Diceros bicornis minor: one gene and its partner. The protein of the gene in region 1 purifies or fractionates together with the protein of each later gene. This does not show direct contact. Links are inferred from orthologs where the notes say so. Each region holds a gene or a part of one and is shown on either strand. Other genes may lie near its edges.

The links. The genes of interacting proteins can lie anywhere in the genome.
Region 2: the proteins of SF3B4 (region 1) and PHF5A purify together in Homo sapiens (affinity purification with mass spectrometry; 6 studies listed by BioGRID and IntAct, with this or other methods). This does not show direct contact. The link is inferred for Diceros bicornis minor from reciprocal best matches to the Homo sapiens genes SF3B4 and PHF5A.

The regions. Positions count from the first base shown.
Region 1 is NC_080743.1:54,472,391-54,479,330, forward strand, and holds the start of SF3B4 (splicing factor 3B subunit 4), read right to left. Parts: upstream 3,084-6,940; 5' UTR 3,019-3,083; coding exon 2,985-3,018; intron 2,534-2,984; coding exon 2,405-2,533; intron 2,142-2,404; coding exon 1,599-2,141; intron 1,279-1,598; coding exon 1,072-1,278; intron 1-1,071. UniProt on the Homo sapiens protein: Component of the 17S U2 SnRNP complex of the spliceosome, a large ribonucleoprotein complex that removes introns from transcribed pre-mRNAs.
Region 2 is NC_080764.1:8,965,715-8,973,388, reverse strand, and holds the start of PHF5A (PHD finger-like domain-containing protein 5A), read right to left. Parts: upstream 3,064-7,674; 5' UTR 3,023-3,063; coding exon 2,971-3,022; intron 2,547-2,970; coding exon 2,523-2,546; intron 2,006-2,522; coding exon 1,839-2,005; intron 1-1,838. Other genes in the region: ACO2 (aconitate hydratase, mitochondrial), read left to right, coding at 3,545-3,580, 3,885-3,905.

The DNA.
Region 1 (6,940 bases):
AAATCACAGGTATGTCAAACAGCGCAGTACGTTCCAGGAAAATGAGTAACTCAGTAATAAAGGAGCAGCGTGCAGTCACAGGAGTAATGGGCAGGGGCCTGATCACAAAAAGCCTAGAATGCTATGGTAACAACTCTGAGTTTCACTCTGTAGGTAAAAGGGAGCAAGAGAAAAATTTTGAGCAAGGGTGTGTGAACATCTGTGTTTTAGAAAAATTACCATGAAACTGGATCAACAGTAGAGAAATTGGAGTCAAAGTGTCACCTAGGAAATTACTACAATAAATTAGGTATGAAATAATGAAAATATGAGGGCCTTAACCAGGGCACTGGCAGTGGGGGCTGTTGCCAGAGATATTAATAAGACTTGGTATTAAGAGTGGGGTGATAGGTAATAGTCAAACATAGCTCCAAGATTTCTGAAAACAAATACTACAGGAAGAATAGATTTGAAGGGGAGGGATAAAAAGGTGGAGCTGTCTATTAAGCAGCAGGATTAAGGATCTGAAATGTTAATAACGATGGACCAGAAATATAGATCTAGGAGGCATCAATGTAAAAGTAATGGAACTATGCAGAACAGAGAACCAAGCACAAAAACCTAGGGACAAGCGGAGAAAAAGAAGTTTATTAAGGTGGCTGAGAACGAGGAGTCAGGCAGACAGATGGAGAATCCAGAAAAACCAAGAGACAAGATTTCCAAACAGGAGGACATGGCTGGTTTCAAGTACAGCAAAAGTCAAACCAGATAAGGAGCAGAAATGTCCCCTAATTTGGCAATTAGGTCACTGCACTGAATGGAAGTCAGAGAGAATGGAAATAAAAGTTAAGGAAACAGAAAACAGCAAGTATAGATTACTCTTTGGAAAAACTTAACTAAGAAATCGAGACAGGATGGTAATTGGTAAAGTAAACACAGTAAAGAGTTTTGTGTTTGTTTTTGTAAATGAACGTTTGAAGGAAAGGAGAGCTCTGGGACTATTATTGTTGAAGGATAAAAAGCAGCAGCATGAGTGATGATAGAGCTCCTCTATGAAGCTCATCCCTCCCTTTCTCAGCAAAGAACACCCACCTGGATGGGGCATCCCACCGGGTGGGAATGGGTGAGGATGAGAGTGTCCATGTCCAGGATGTCCAGCCCCTGGGGTTCCTGCTGATGGGGGGCCATGTCCCCCAGCCCCAGGAGGCATAGGTGGTGGGGGCATGGCTGGGGGTATCCCAGGTGGAAGGGCTCCAGGAGGTGGCACTGGAGGTGGGAAGGAGCCAGGAGGAGGCATGCCTATAGAAGAAATGGAAGAAGAGTTAATGCTAGTGAGGAGAGACTATCTTTAGAGAGCCAGTTCCAATCACGCCTCTCCAGGCAGGATGAGCTCCTTTCCCCTCCTCCCAGCCCTCTAAAGCCAGAAGCAATGTTAGGCAACTCATACAACTTCAACTTTCTGGAGAAACTCAACAGTTTTCTTCCCCACCACAACCATCATCCCTCAAGCCTTCTCACGACCCACTGACTCAATGTCTGTCTTTATCAAGTTCTTTTTCCTTCCTCCTGCCCTCCCTTCCCCAACCCAAGACAAACATATTTTAAATCAAAAGCTTTACCTGGTGGAGGAAGCCCAGATCCCAATGATGATACCACAGGATTAGGGGCAGAAGGTGGAGGGGGTGCATCTGCAAACAGCTGATGGGGGCGGTCAGCCTGGGAGAGTGGGTTCTGGGCTGCCAGAAGTCGTTCAGCTGCTGAGCCATGGCGTTCACCCTTGGAGTCCTTCTTGAAGGCATAGGACACGGTAATAGGGCGATTACAGAGATACTGCCCATTCATGGCCTCAATTGCTGCATCCGAAGCATCAAACGAAGCAAAATTAATAAAGGCATAACCTTTGGAGTTGCCTGTGTCAGGGTCCCGCATAATCTTGGGGGTTTGTAAGATGACCCCAAAGGCACTGAAAGTATCATAAAGTAGCTTCTCATCAATCTCTGGGTCCAGGTTCCCAATGAAAATGTTGGCCCCCACATCCAGGTTTTTGTTGTGAGCTGATGCCTTGTTCACCCGTATTGGCTTCCCATAGAGTTTGATCATGTTCATAATCTTAATGGCATAGTCAGCATCTTCCTCACTCAAGAATTCCACAAAGCCATAGCCTGGGGAAGTGGAAGAGAGGAGGTTAACAACTTACGTGAAGTGATTTAAAATGGTGTAAAAGTCATTCACCTCCGAAAGCACAAAGAACAAGAAATAATAATCTCACTTTGATTGAGAATGGTTCCAGAAACAAACTGTGAGCTAGGCTTAAGAGAAAGAAATCTTTAGGTTGCTCATTACAAAACAGTTGTGAATACTGCTGGGGTCCTCCAGGAGCAGTTTGTCCCCTCAACAGCCAAATGCACTCTTGCCATGTACTCACCTTGGTGCTGACCAGTGACTCTATCCTTTGGCATGTGGGTGTTGACTACTGGCCCTGCCTGGAGAAATAGCTCCCACAGCAGTGGTTCGCTAACTTTCTCGTCCAGGCCCCCCACGTACACCGTGGCATCTGGAGGGCGGGAGCAGGAAGTTAGAGCAGAAATGAGAGTATGACAGCAAAGGAGGTGACAGAAATATGAAGATGGAATCCAGGCGGGGGAATTGAGAGTGAAGATAAGGCAGAGGAGCAAAAAGAAAAAAAAAAAAAGACGTTAGATTAAGCCCTTACACCTTTCTCTTTCCAGGAACTGGAGAATCTTCTGAAGTCTAAGAGTTCTGCCGCAAATTCTTTTTGAATTTTTTTTTTTTTGGAGCGGGAAGGCAGCAGGGGATTGGATATAGAGAGCATCACACCTACAGGCCTCAGCCCGCACCCAGCCACCCCGCCCCCAGCAGGCACCGGGGCCGCTCTCGCGCCCTCCGCGGAGGTTCAGTCTCCCGCCCCGGTAGAAACACTGCTGGCCTTAGTCGAGACCTCCCAGCCGCCCTGAGTCCATTCCGGGCTTGTCCCCTCCAGTCACCCTGGTTCCGCTCGGAGATGGGCCCGGCCGCCATGGCGAAAAACGTCCCGCCGCCTCCAAGCAGCGATTCCGCCCTCTGAACTCAGTCACTACTTCCACTTCCGGAGCGAAGGCGTACGGGAGGCTGTGGGTGGGGCCCCGGCGGGGGAGGGGCCGGAAGCGGCCGCGGCCATCTTGGGAGCCGCTGAGACGGCGCTCAGTTCTCCAGTCGCTGGTTTTGTGTTAAGGTGCCGCTGCGAGCGGGGAGGGCGGGGAAGGCGGAAGGGAAATGCTCAGACCGTCTTAAGAAGTGCTAGACGTTAAAGGGTTATACTGCTCCCAAAAGTGTAAATTCGAAACCTAAAAGAACAAAACTTTACTTTTCATATATTTTGTAGCCAAATGTTCCTTCTTTTGTTCCCCAGAGAAGGGTGTGCTGAGGAACCCCCCCACCCCAAGGACTCGGCTGCTTCGAGCGCGGAGGCAGCTCTCCACCCCGGGCAGCCGCCTTTGGGCAGATGCGGCTTCACCGCCGGGCTGGGCTTCAGGTATTTCGTTTTCCCTCAGGGGAGGGGATTGCGGAATGTCTGAGCTGGAGCGACGTATGAGTTCACCGAATCGTTATTGCACAGGGGGGTGAGGGGAACCTGGGGCTCAGAGATGGAGTGCGACCGAAGCTGAGGGCGGTTGACACTGACGCCCGGGGTCCTCAGTCTTAACGTCCAGAACATACCGCTCGCCGCAGCGACAACACCTTGGTATGCTTTTGCCCCATGTTTCCCCTAAATGAGAGGCACAGAAAAGAGAACACTTTTCCCAAATTGCATATGAATTCTGCAGAGCCTCACCTGACACATACCCTTATTTCCTTAGCAATATGTGGTGGGTGCCGCCTTCTCTTGGGTCACAGCCACCCTCCATCCACCACTTACCTGGGATCTTTTATTCAAACACAAGAAACTATGCCAGCAGTGTGTATAAATACTGAGCTTTAATGAACTCATTAATAGAAATGTCACTACAAAAATACACAATTGGAAGAGACAGGGTGTCTCCCATATCCACTCCACATACCCATAGAAAACTGTAAGGGAAGAAATAGAAATTAGAGTTAAAGAAGCAGCAAGAGGAGGTGAGACTGAGGTCTGTAGACCTTCTTGTTGGGACTGTTGAATAGCATCTCTTATCTCACAATTTAACAGCTGGATATCCAAAATGGATGCAATTTCCCTGAAAAAAAGAGGTGATCATACTTTGGATTGTTTTTGTTTCTTAATTCTTCAAATTATAAGAAACAAATGAGACGGGACAAGAGTTAGAGAAGGTTAGCACCCCGCCATCTGCAATGGAAACAAGTCAGCCAGCTTGTTTAAGGGCTGGAGTGTAAAAGCTGAGGCAGCAAGACCAGATAAGAAAAACTGAAGGATTAGAGGAACCCTTCCCCATCGTAGACTGCCCTCTGCCCTGCCCATGAGAAAGCCAGCAATTTCAACGGGATTGGGAGAGAATGGTATTTGGATCTCTTTTCTTGGAGTGATCCTCAGGAGATATTCTTGGTGTCCATTTCCTTAATAGCTCTTGAAGATGGGATAGCTCATCCTGGAGGCCAGAGATTGTGGGAGCCGAGAGGCCCATCTGGGGTGGGGTGAAGAGAGGCAGAGAGGAATATTATTGCAGCTCTAGCTCTCTGCTTCTAAGATCTGTCCACTGCTTCTGGCGTCTTTAATTCTCTTTCCCCCTCCACTTATGCCCTAGGTTCCACTTGATCTAAGTCACAAGCAGGTTCCCCCGTGCCCCACACTCCCAAATGTATCCACCTGGATACCTACACTAATAGAACTTGACTTCCCAGTCCCTCCAGCCTCTTGCCTTTCCAGCTCCTAGAAATAGCTGGTTTCTCTTGGATCATCTAGTTCAGCAGTCAAGCCCCTTCTCCCACTCCCAATCCCTGTCTTCCCTACTCACCTGGACCTCAGGCCTTCCCCTCAGGTAGCAGCGTCTCCAGAGTCTGATCTGGGGTCCCAGATATCCAGGCAGCAGCAGCCCTGGGGGTAAAGGGCAAGCTCCCCAATGTGAGGGGAGCCCCCACTCCTGATCAGCTAGACTTTCAGAGGAGATAGCAGGTCGAGGGAGCCAACGAGAAGAGACTGCCAGCAGGGAGGGACTGTCCCGCCAAGGGCAGAGCTGATTCAGGGGGGTCAGGGCCCCTCTAGAGAAGAGCCACACAGAACTGGGGGGTCCAGGAACCATGAAGCTTGGCTAAAGGAGAAAGAGAAATCAACTAGCAACCTGGAAACCATATGACCCCAGTTTCCCCAAACCGGGTCAAGAAGGAATGCCCAGCAACCACCCACTCACACTGCACTATTGATGGAACTACAAGCCTACCCCTGAGAACTCTGTTTACTCTCCTCATTAGGTTTCAGACTAGACCTCAGGACTGATTAAAGTTGACTTTAGGGAAACTTGTAAAATGTGTGCATGAGAAAGGAGATGAGGAGGACAAAAAGGATGCCCTCTGTGCAATTCCAGGATTTCTGTCTTCCTGGGGACAGCGACTATAAATAACAGCTACAGAAGAGGAGTGGGATAGCTTTCCCTGGGGAACTCAGACACTGTGCCTTTCCACTTCTCGCCATCTAATAGGATGAGTCTGTGAGACAGTCAAGGGAATTTAGGAAATTTAGACACCTCACCTGCTGTCTAGGGAGCCAGGAATCTGGGCAGTGTTCCGGGTCATAGCCAGGATTATGGAATTGTAGTATCTGTTCATTGCTGTAGCGTAAATCCCAGTCCCAGACAGACAGCTGTGGGTTAACAGAGTTCCCAGCTGGGAGCTGGGAGTACCCTGGGGTATAGACTTGTGGATAGGAGTTGAACTGGACAGAAGAAACAAGAAAAAGGATGGTTAAACAAACATAAAAAAATATAATCCTTCTCTCACGTCTATAGAGAAATCATGAAACTCTTATCTCTTACTCCAAGAATCAGATGGAGTGAAAGTCGGGTCCTGAGAGTGAGTGCCAACCTCCCCCTTTCCCACCGACAGACCTCACTTTTCATAAATCAAGACTAAAATTCAGAGAGTACTTCTCAATGGGGGAAAAAAAGACAAGTCAAAAATGGAAGTCACTGACCTGTCCACTCTGCTTTCCACGCTCCCAGGGAGTGTCTCTCAAGAATGTAAGGGTGTCAGGAACCCTGACACTGTCTTGAAGAGCAAGAAGGAAAAACTCAGAGAATTCAAACTCAGCTGGAAACTGCTGGAGGAGCTGCCAGACGCAATCAAGGAAGAGGAAAAACACTGGGGCCTGAGGAGGGAAATTACGAGGTTGGAAGAGATTGTGGGGACCTAGAAGGGGAGGATGACAAAATGACGGGATGAGAGACACAGGGAACAGGAGCCAGTAGGAAGGTCAGGAATGGAATCTGAATTGAGTGTAAAGGGTTGTGGTCCCTCACTCATCTGGGTCTCTCTTCAAGCTCAGCCTAACTTCAGGACCCTTCTGACCTGATTCACCTCCAATGGATTATACTATATAATTTTCTCATCCCCTTACTTCTTTAGTAATACCCCCCCCCCCAAAACACTCCCAAAACATTCTCACCTCTTCACTGGCCCCAGTTCCCCCAAGTCGGGTCAGGAAGGGATGTCCAGCTGCCACCCACTCTCGCTGCACTAGTGATTGGAAGCCAAGCAGTGTTCGGGCTTCAGGGGCTGAAAGCAGCTGGACGAGTGAAGAGAGGAGGCCATTGAAATCACGATCACCGCGCTCTGGGTGATAAAGAGGGAGAAGGGACAAAGAAGGAGGGACCAAGAAACTAGGGCAGAAGAGAATGAGAAAAGGAAGCACGGCAAGAAGAAGTAAGAGGCACAGAGGGGAAAAGTTTTGGGTAGTTAGGATTGAGAGGGCACATAGAAGTGAAGACAAAACAAAGACCTTGAATGATTCACTTCATAGACTCCACTTGGATAG
Region 2 (7,674 bases), on another chromosome or scaffold:
AGTAAATGTGAGCTAGATGCCATCTCAGGTATCCTCAGAACATTCCTGTATAACGTGAAGTAGGGGAAGTGACGTCTAGAATAATTCTCAGGGACACAATGAAGCACGAAGATCCAAAGATATCAGGTCACACACCACATGCAGACGAGTCAGACAGCAATTAACATTTATTAAGCATTCTCTGGTTCAAAGCTTACTCCAGATAAGAACTCTAGCTACAAATGAAGCACGAAGATCCAAAGATATCAGGTCACACACCACATGCAGACGAGTCAGACAGCAATTAACATTTATTAAGCATTCTCTGGTTCAAAGCTTACTCCAGATAAGAACTCTAGCTACAAACCTGCAAAAGTCCAAGAGAACGTTGTCCTTAACGGACTCTTTAGTTAAAGAACTGCTCGTACTTTCTCTTCACTGCTGGGGTCTTACCAGGGTTTCACTGCTTACAGACTATAAATAATTACCACACACCTACTACGTACCAGACCCTCTGTATGGGGAACTCCTATAGATGACTTATAGGGCAGCACCAAAAATGTGGACCATGCCGACAAAACATGCCAGACCCTGTACCAAGAAATGCAGAAAAGGAGAGACAAATACACAAACTGAGGTCCTTTCTCTGAAGGAGTGTAACCTAGCTGGTGGATCAGATCAAGCAGGATATGATCTGACAGTCAAAGAGAAATGCAAATCAGAGTGTAGGATGGGAGAATGTTCAAATCACCAACTGAAATTATGTTTTTGGTATCTATGACCCTTCGTATCTCCCTAAATAATAGAAGACTTAATGATGTAAGAAACAGTCTTATCTGGCCAAATGCATAAACTGCTGAGGTGGCTGGGTTGTTTCTCCTCAACATGGGCACAGCCGACAAAAAGGACTTACAAAAGGACAATATGCTGTAATGTGGACGCCACTAGCTTTAGTCAAGATAGCCTGTGCTTGCCACTTATCAGTGGGCTGCGGGACTGTAAAATGGGGATGATGATAATCTCTATTTATCAAAGTTCTTGTGAAGAATAAACTATATAAACATCTATAAACTACCTACTCTTTGCTCATGGAACTATTAACAATTATATATCTTTTGCCTTATCCTAGATTAGGTAAACGCATATCTTCTATTAGCCAACTGGTACTATATCACACTTTCTTTTATTGTCATAAGAAGAAAATAAGCTAATCCAGGTTTTTTCCCCCCCTAAGAAGCCTGCTGCTTCTAATCTAAAGAAAAATGGTAAAACTTGCCTTTGGATAAATCTACAAGCCCTCTATGCTGGCATTTGGTTCAAGGAGTTGAATAACTAGCCACTGCCACCACACAATGTCACAGAGCAAAAATGTCATGAGATAGAATCACAATCAATTCTGCAATATCAAACCAAAGGCATTCTTTAGTGGCTTAAAGCTGAAATCAACCTGAATTGTCCCACATTCAAATGTTACCACATCCACCCAAACAGTCCTTAATGACAGTAAAGAGAATTACTGAGTGGCTAGTACACACCATGCACTGTGCTAGGACTTAGAAAATGCAGGATGTTGTTTCTGAATAAAAATAATCAGAGAGACATCAAAAGAATAGAGAGAGGGCTCTCCAAATTGCTGGTGTTGACCAAGATTTGCTTCTCTTGCATTTTTGCCCTTGATGCAAAATAACAGCCTTTTATTGGACTACACCCAGTTTAGCTTACAGAACTTGAAAAAATTATAACCTAGGTAACTAGCTGACCATAGTAATCTCCACAGATCATAGGAGTTTGCTGTGGATGGCAACGTGTTACTAAATAAAAGGAAGAAAGATCAGCTGGAAAGCTCAGTATACACTCACATCCTTCTCCTGGATGGTGCACTCCTTACAGTAATAGGCGTCAGAGACTCCAGGGCCTCCACAGATCACGCAACGCCCCTGGTAAGAGCCGTAGTTACACTCGTCACATATGCGCACCAGGGTGCAGGGACGCACATAGGAGTCACAGATCACACACTTGCCATCACCTGTGAGGAAAAAAGAATGGAATTATGCCTACTTGCAAGTACCTCCTCAAGTCCTTTGCCCTCCTCCTGCGATGGGGAAATACACCAGTCTCCTTCTAACAGTGACTGTAGGGCCCTCTACTTTGGCATCACAGAACCTGGCTTACCTGTGTCCATCTCAACAATCCCCACAACACACAGGAAAAGTTAATCAACTAATGTGTAAAGAGCTTAGAACAGCACCTGCTAGATGATAAGTCTATAATTACTGGCAAAGATCTGTGTTGGGGATGGGGTCATGCTACTTCCTGTCCAAAGCTAGAGATTTTCTTGAAACCTAAACATAGCACCTAAAACATGCAAGTTGGAGTGGGGAAGTGGAGGGGCCTTTGTTGCAGTCTGGCATTCAGTGTCCACATGCTTCCAGGCGCATCTACTCAAACCCCTCTTTGTGGCACCACTGGAAATGCCCTCTTGCTGGCTCCACGGACACTGCGAGTGGCAGGGTGGGGTGTTTGGGAGGGCGTGTTCCACTCACATTTTTCACACAGTCTTCCGATGGCTGCAAGATCAAAGACAGTAAAGAGTGTAATTAGAATTAAGGTTTTGAGGAAGAAGAGAAAAACATCCTCGAGCTTGGGGTGGGGACAGGAGCAGGGACAGCAGTGAGCCCTGAAGGAACTTATCCATCTTATCTTCATAAACTTCGATCCGAACCAAACCCACACCCTCTTGAAGCCCCTCCCAGGCCCTGGGCAGTCTGAAAGTTTCTCCGGGCCCCACCCTGGCTACCCGCCTCCTCCCAGCACGCGCGCCCCCGCCCCCTTTTCATCCGAGGCCACAAACTCGCGCACTCCTTCACTACCGACCGTGAGGCGGGAAACGTGGCGCCTCCGAAGCAAGACCCTAAAGAAGACGGGAACCCTCGACTCCCCAGCTCCTAATACCACCCCACCCAGACAGCCGGGGCAAGGAAGCCGGCTCACCAACACCGGCCTGCTTGCGGCAAAAGATCAAGTCCGGATGATGTTTAGCCATAGCTCCCACTCAAGCGCCGGCCACCAGAAGCTTCGGGAACTTCCGTTCGACCTTTAACCTCCATTGTTCCTGCCTCCTGGTCGCCGTGATTGGTCCTCTAGGCTTCCATCAGCGATTACAATCTTTGCACCAAGCCCCGCTTGCTCTCGCGGGATCAAAACCTTTAAGTTCCAAAGACGAATTTCCGTTGTTAGCTGGGGAGCCAGGTCCTGGCAGGTGCGTGAAAGTCATTAAGACAAAATACCTTTCTTAGGTTTGGATGGAAGAGACAAAGTGCAAAGATGAAATTTGCACTTCGATGAGATAACACTGTACCCTGTATTTACTTTCATACAGCTCTTTTTCCTCTCCCGTGTTCGGGACCTCGGCCCACTGCGCTCTTAGGGCACTGGGGGCCTCTTTGGAGGCCCCGCCTTCACCGTGACGCATTTCTCTTCAGGCCACGCCCCCCCTGACCGAAGGCTTTAAATACGCCGTCTGTCGCGTCACTTTCACGCGACCTCATCTTTGTCAGTGCACAAAATGGCGCCTTACAGCCTACTGGTGACCCGGCTGCAGGTGAGCGAGCTCAGGGCCCTCGGGTTTCACGGGGGCGGGGTGCCTCCTACTTTACCTGCGGCTGTGGGCGAGGCAGGGCGAGGCGGACCCAACCTCTGGCCGACTTTCCGTGTACCTGTTCCGACCGCGGGCCCAGTGCCGGTGCCCGCTACTCCGGCGCCCGAGGTCAAGGCGTCCCCGGCTCAGTCAGCTCTCCCAGCCCAGACCCCGCTGACGGGATCCGTGGGTCCAAGCAGCGGCGGCCAGGTGAAGAGTGGAGGCACCTCATTCTCCTTTTTGAGGACCGCACTCTTCTCTCTCGTAGGGTGCCGTTCTGTTTCTCAAGGTGAGGACAAGGTGACTGGGGGGCGCGGTCGTTGTTGAGCCCGCTGAGCCCAGAACCCGAAGGCCTCTCTTCTCATCTCTCAGCAGCGGAGACTTGGCTCTCAGCTAGCCAGGAGCATCTACGGTTGGCAGGCCTGGAGTCGGGAGAAAAAACTAGTACCCTATTACATTTTATGAGGATCCTGCGGATCATAACAGTATAGCCAAGAATACAAGGAAATCTGGGCCCCGACGTAGTAAATAGTAATAACAGTAGTCTCTCACCTTTGCACAAGATTGCAAGACAGGTTTTATTCCTCATCATAACATTTGATTCGTTTACTCATCTGGTGAGGTGATTCTTCTTATTTGTTAGGTGATGAAATTGCTAGAAAGTAGATGACAGTTCTTGCTTTGTGAGTGTCACAGAAGTGCTGTGACCTGAGCGTCTGTCCTACTTACCCCTCTGTTCTTCTTCATGTCAACCTATCCTCACAGAACTTTCTGAACCAAAGTGTGATCCTTGAGCTGACATTTGTATTTGTTAGAGCACCAGAGTCGAGTATTTTGAGTTCACAATTAGTTGCTTTTCAATTACTAGATGGGAGGGTAAAGAGACTCAACGGTTTGATCTTGACTCTCCTGTTTGACCTTGATTCTCCTGTTATGAATCATCTAGAAAATTGACATCTGACTTCCAGATGGTTTTTTTCACTCCTAACTTGACAGCTCTAGGAAGGTATTATACTCAAAGGTTCAATATCAAGCGTGTAGTTTGTTAATAAAAATAAAGAAAGCAAGCACTTATAGACATTCTCTGACAACCTTTTCCATTTAACTTTGTGAATCTACTTTGAATCAAGTCGTGCAGCTTTGACTATAGAATTAAAAAGTTGTGTGCTGGGCGGGCCCCGTGGCTTAGCAGGTAAGTGCTCTCGCTCCGCTACTGGTGACCGGGGTTCAGATCCCGGGCGCGCACCGACCCACCGCTCCTCCGGCCATGCTGAGGCCCTGTCCCACATACAGCAACTAGAAGGCTGTGCAACTATGACATACAACTATCTACTGGGGCTTTGGGGAAAAAAGGAGGAGGATTGGCAATAGATGTTAGCTCAGAGCCGGTCTTCCTCAGCAAAAAGAGGAGGATATTAGCACGGATGTTAGCTCAGGGCTAATCTTCCTCACACACGCACACAAAAAAAAGTTGTGTGCTGTACTCTGAGGAAGCATTGTGTTACTAGAAGTTTTTTTTTTTTATCACATTGCTTAAATTTAAACCATACGGTTTAAAGTGAAATCATCATTTATCTTAAAATACTTTTTTTTTAAAGTTTTTATTTATTTTATTTTTTTTCCCCCAAAGCCCCAGTAGATAGTTGTATGTCATAGTTGCACAGCCTTCTAGTTGCTGTATGTGGGACGAGGCCTCATCGTGGCCGGAGAAGCGGTGCTTTGGTGCGCGCCCGGGATCCGAACCTGGGCTGCCAGCAGCGGAGCGCACGCACTTAACCGCTAAGCCACGGGGCCGGCCCTTAAAATACTTCTGATCTCTCAATTCTGGGCAAAGACAAGGGATTTCCCCTAATTATCTCTTCAGATCTTTTGATTCTGTAGGTTAACAATGTGGAAATAGTTGTCTTTTTCCTGATCCTTCTGTCCCAAGATGTTGTGAAATCAGGCAAGATTATTTGTTAACATAAATGATTACAGATTTATTAAGCTTGGAAGAGAGGACTTATATCACAGTATTTTTGAACTGAGAGAGGATCTTGGGAAGCATGAGTGTTAGACTGGTATAGAAAGAGATCTGAGCCATAGTTCATGTTCTACCGTGACCCTGTGACTTTGAGCAAGTTACTTCTGAATCCCAGTTTTCTCATCTGTCAGTTGGTGATGGATCTTCATTGACAAACATTTATTGAGTACGTGGTAATTGGCTTCTACTCAGATTGTTATGATGATTGATATAAAGTGATGAGAAAGAGGAATATGTTTTTTTTTTTTTATGATCATCATGTGGTCCAGCCTCTCACATATGGACATTCCAAGACCTTGAGAGCCTGGGTGACTTCCAGTAGCACAGTCAGAATTAGAATCCAAGTCTCCTTGTTTGTTCATTCAGCTAAGATGAATGAACAGCATTATACCACACTGCCTCCCAGTAGCCAGCTGTCTTAAGTAGTGGCCAGCTAATACTGTCCTCTGAGAACCTTGTAAATTTACCTCTTTTGTGTTTGGCTACTTTTGAGAAGTGATGGTACTACCTTAGTTGTCATATCTGCAGAATCCTGCCCATGCATTCAGTTTATTCCTACCTCATTCACCACATATTTACTGAGCACCCACTGCTTGCTCTGGATACAATGATAAGCAAAGCAGACAATTCTTGTTCTCATGGAGCTTCCACTATATTCTAATGTATTCTACTGTAGAGGGCCTTGGAGATCTTTCTCAGCCGAAATATTTTTCTTCTGCCCTTGGCTGAACCAAAGATGAAGGTAGATAATAGAATGATGGTAATTACTGCTATCACTAAGAGTAGCTCATATTTACCTTATTGTGTGCCAGTAATCTCACAACACCCTGTGAGATAAGGCAGAGCTGTTAGCCCTGTCTTATGGATGAAGAAACAGGGTTAGAGAGGAAACAGTGTAATGGTTAAGAGCATGGATTCTGACGTCACGCTATCTGAATTTGAATGTTGACTCTGATGCTTGCTTGCTGTGACTTTGGGCAAGTTACTTCACCTTTCTGTGCCTTTTTCCTCACCTGTAAGATATGGATAGTAATAGAACATCTGACTTATCTAATAATCATATTAGAGTTGTAAAGTATTTAGAACCCTGCCTGTACCTAGTAAGTGCTATATGATTGTTTATTAAACAAAATAAAATACACTTGCTTGGGGCCTTGTCCGTAGTTGTTAGTAGATGTGATTTGACTCTGCACCTTGCTGATTCCAGAGCCCGAGGTCCTAGCACCTGCTCTACCATGATTCCCTGTGGCATCAAGACTCAGCCTGTCCACCAGGGCACCAATATTGCTCCATAACCTTAGAACAGTGCTCTTTAAGTTGAAAGTTTGACAGTACCTGCTACCAGCTAGTGAGATTAGAAACAGTGAAGACAGTGGAGGTGCAAGTTTTGGAAAGCCACGTTTACCCTCTGGTTTTTGTTATTTATTTTTGTGCAAATGACTATAGATGGTAAATAAGAGGGATTGGGCACTTGCAAATACATTTTTTAGGTCTTTGGTTTTGCCTTGTACTGGAGTGCTGAGTTCTCAACTCATGACTTTGGAGAGTCATGTAACCTCTTGCATGTAACTCTGAGATGGCAGTTAACTACGAAGAAGTCTTGCCAAAACTACATATTTGGCAGAAGTTAGGTTCTCTGTAAAGTGCCATGTAAAAAAATCTTACTTTGAGTTATGAAACAGGTCATTCTGGTTGCATGTTCCCTGTGGTACCTTTTCAGGTGTCCTGTAGTTAACTGTGGATTTGAGTTGAGTGAATGAATGAATGATTGAATGGATGAGTAAACAAACTTCCAGTCTCAAACTTGGGCAGAGGGAGTAGAATCACCATCTTTTTTTTTTTCCTTTTTATTTTTTGTTTTTCTTCTTTTGAGAATCACCATCTTGAGGACTAGGAGAGAACACAATTCCCTTGAACCAACTGTTTCCAAAATGTTTATTGAAAGCTTATTATATATGCCTAGCACTGTTCTAGACACTGGGAGTGCAACAGTCTACAAGAATAGTGGAGCTTTTATTGTAGTTCTGGGGAGACA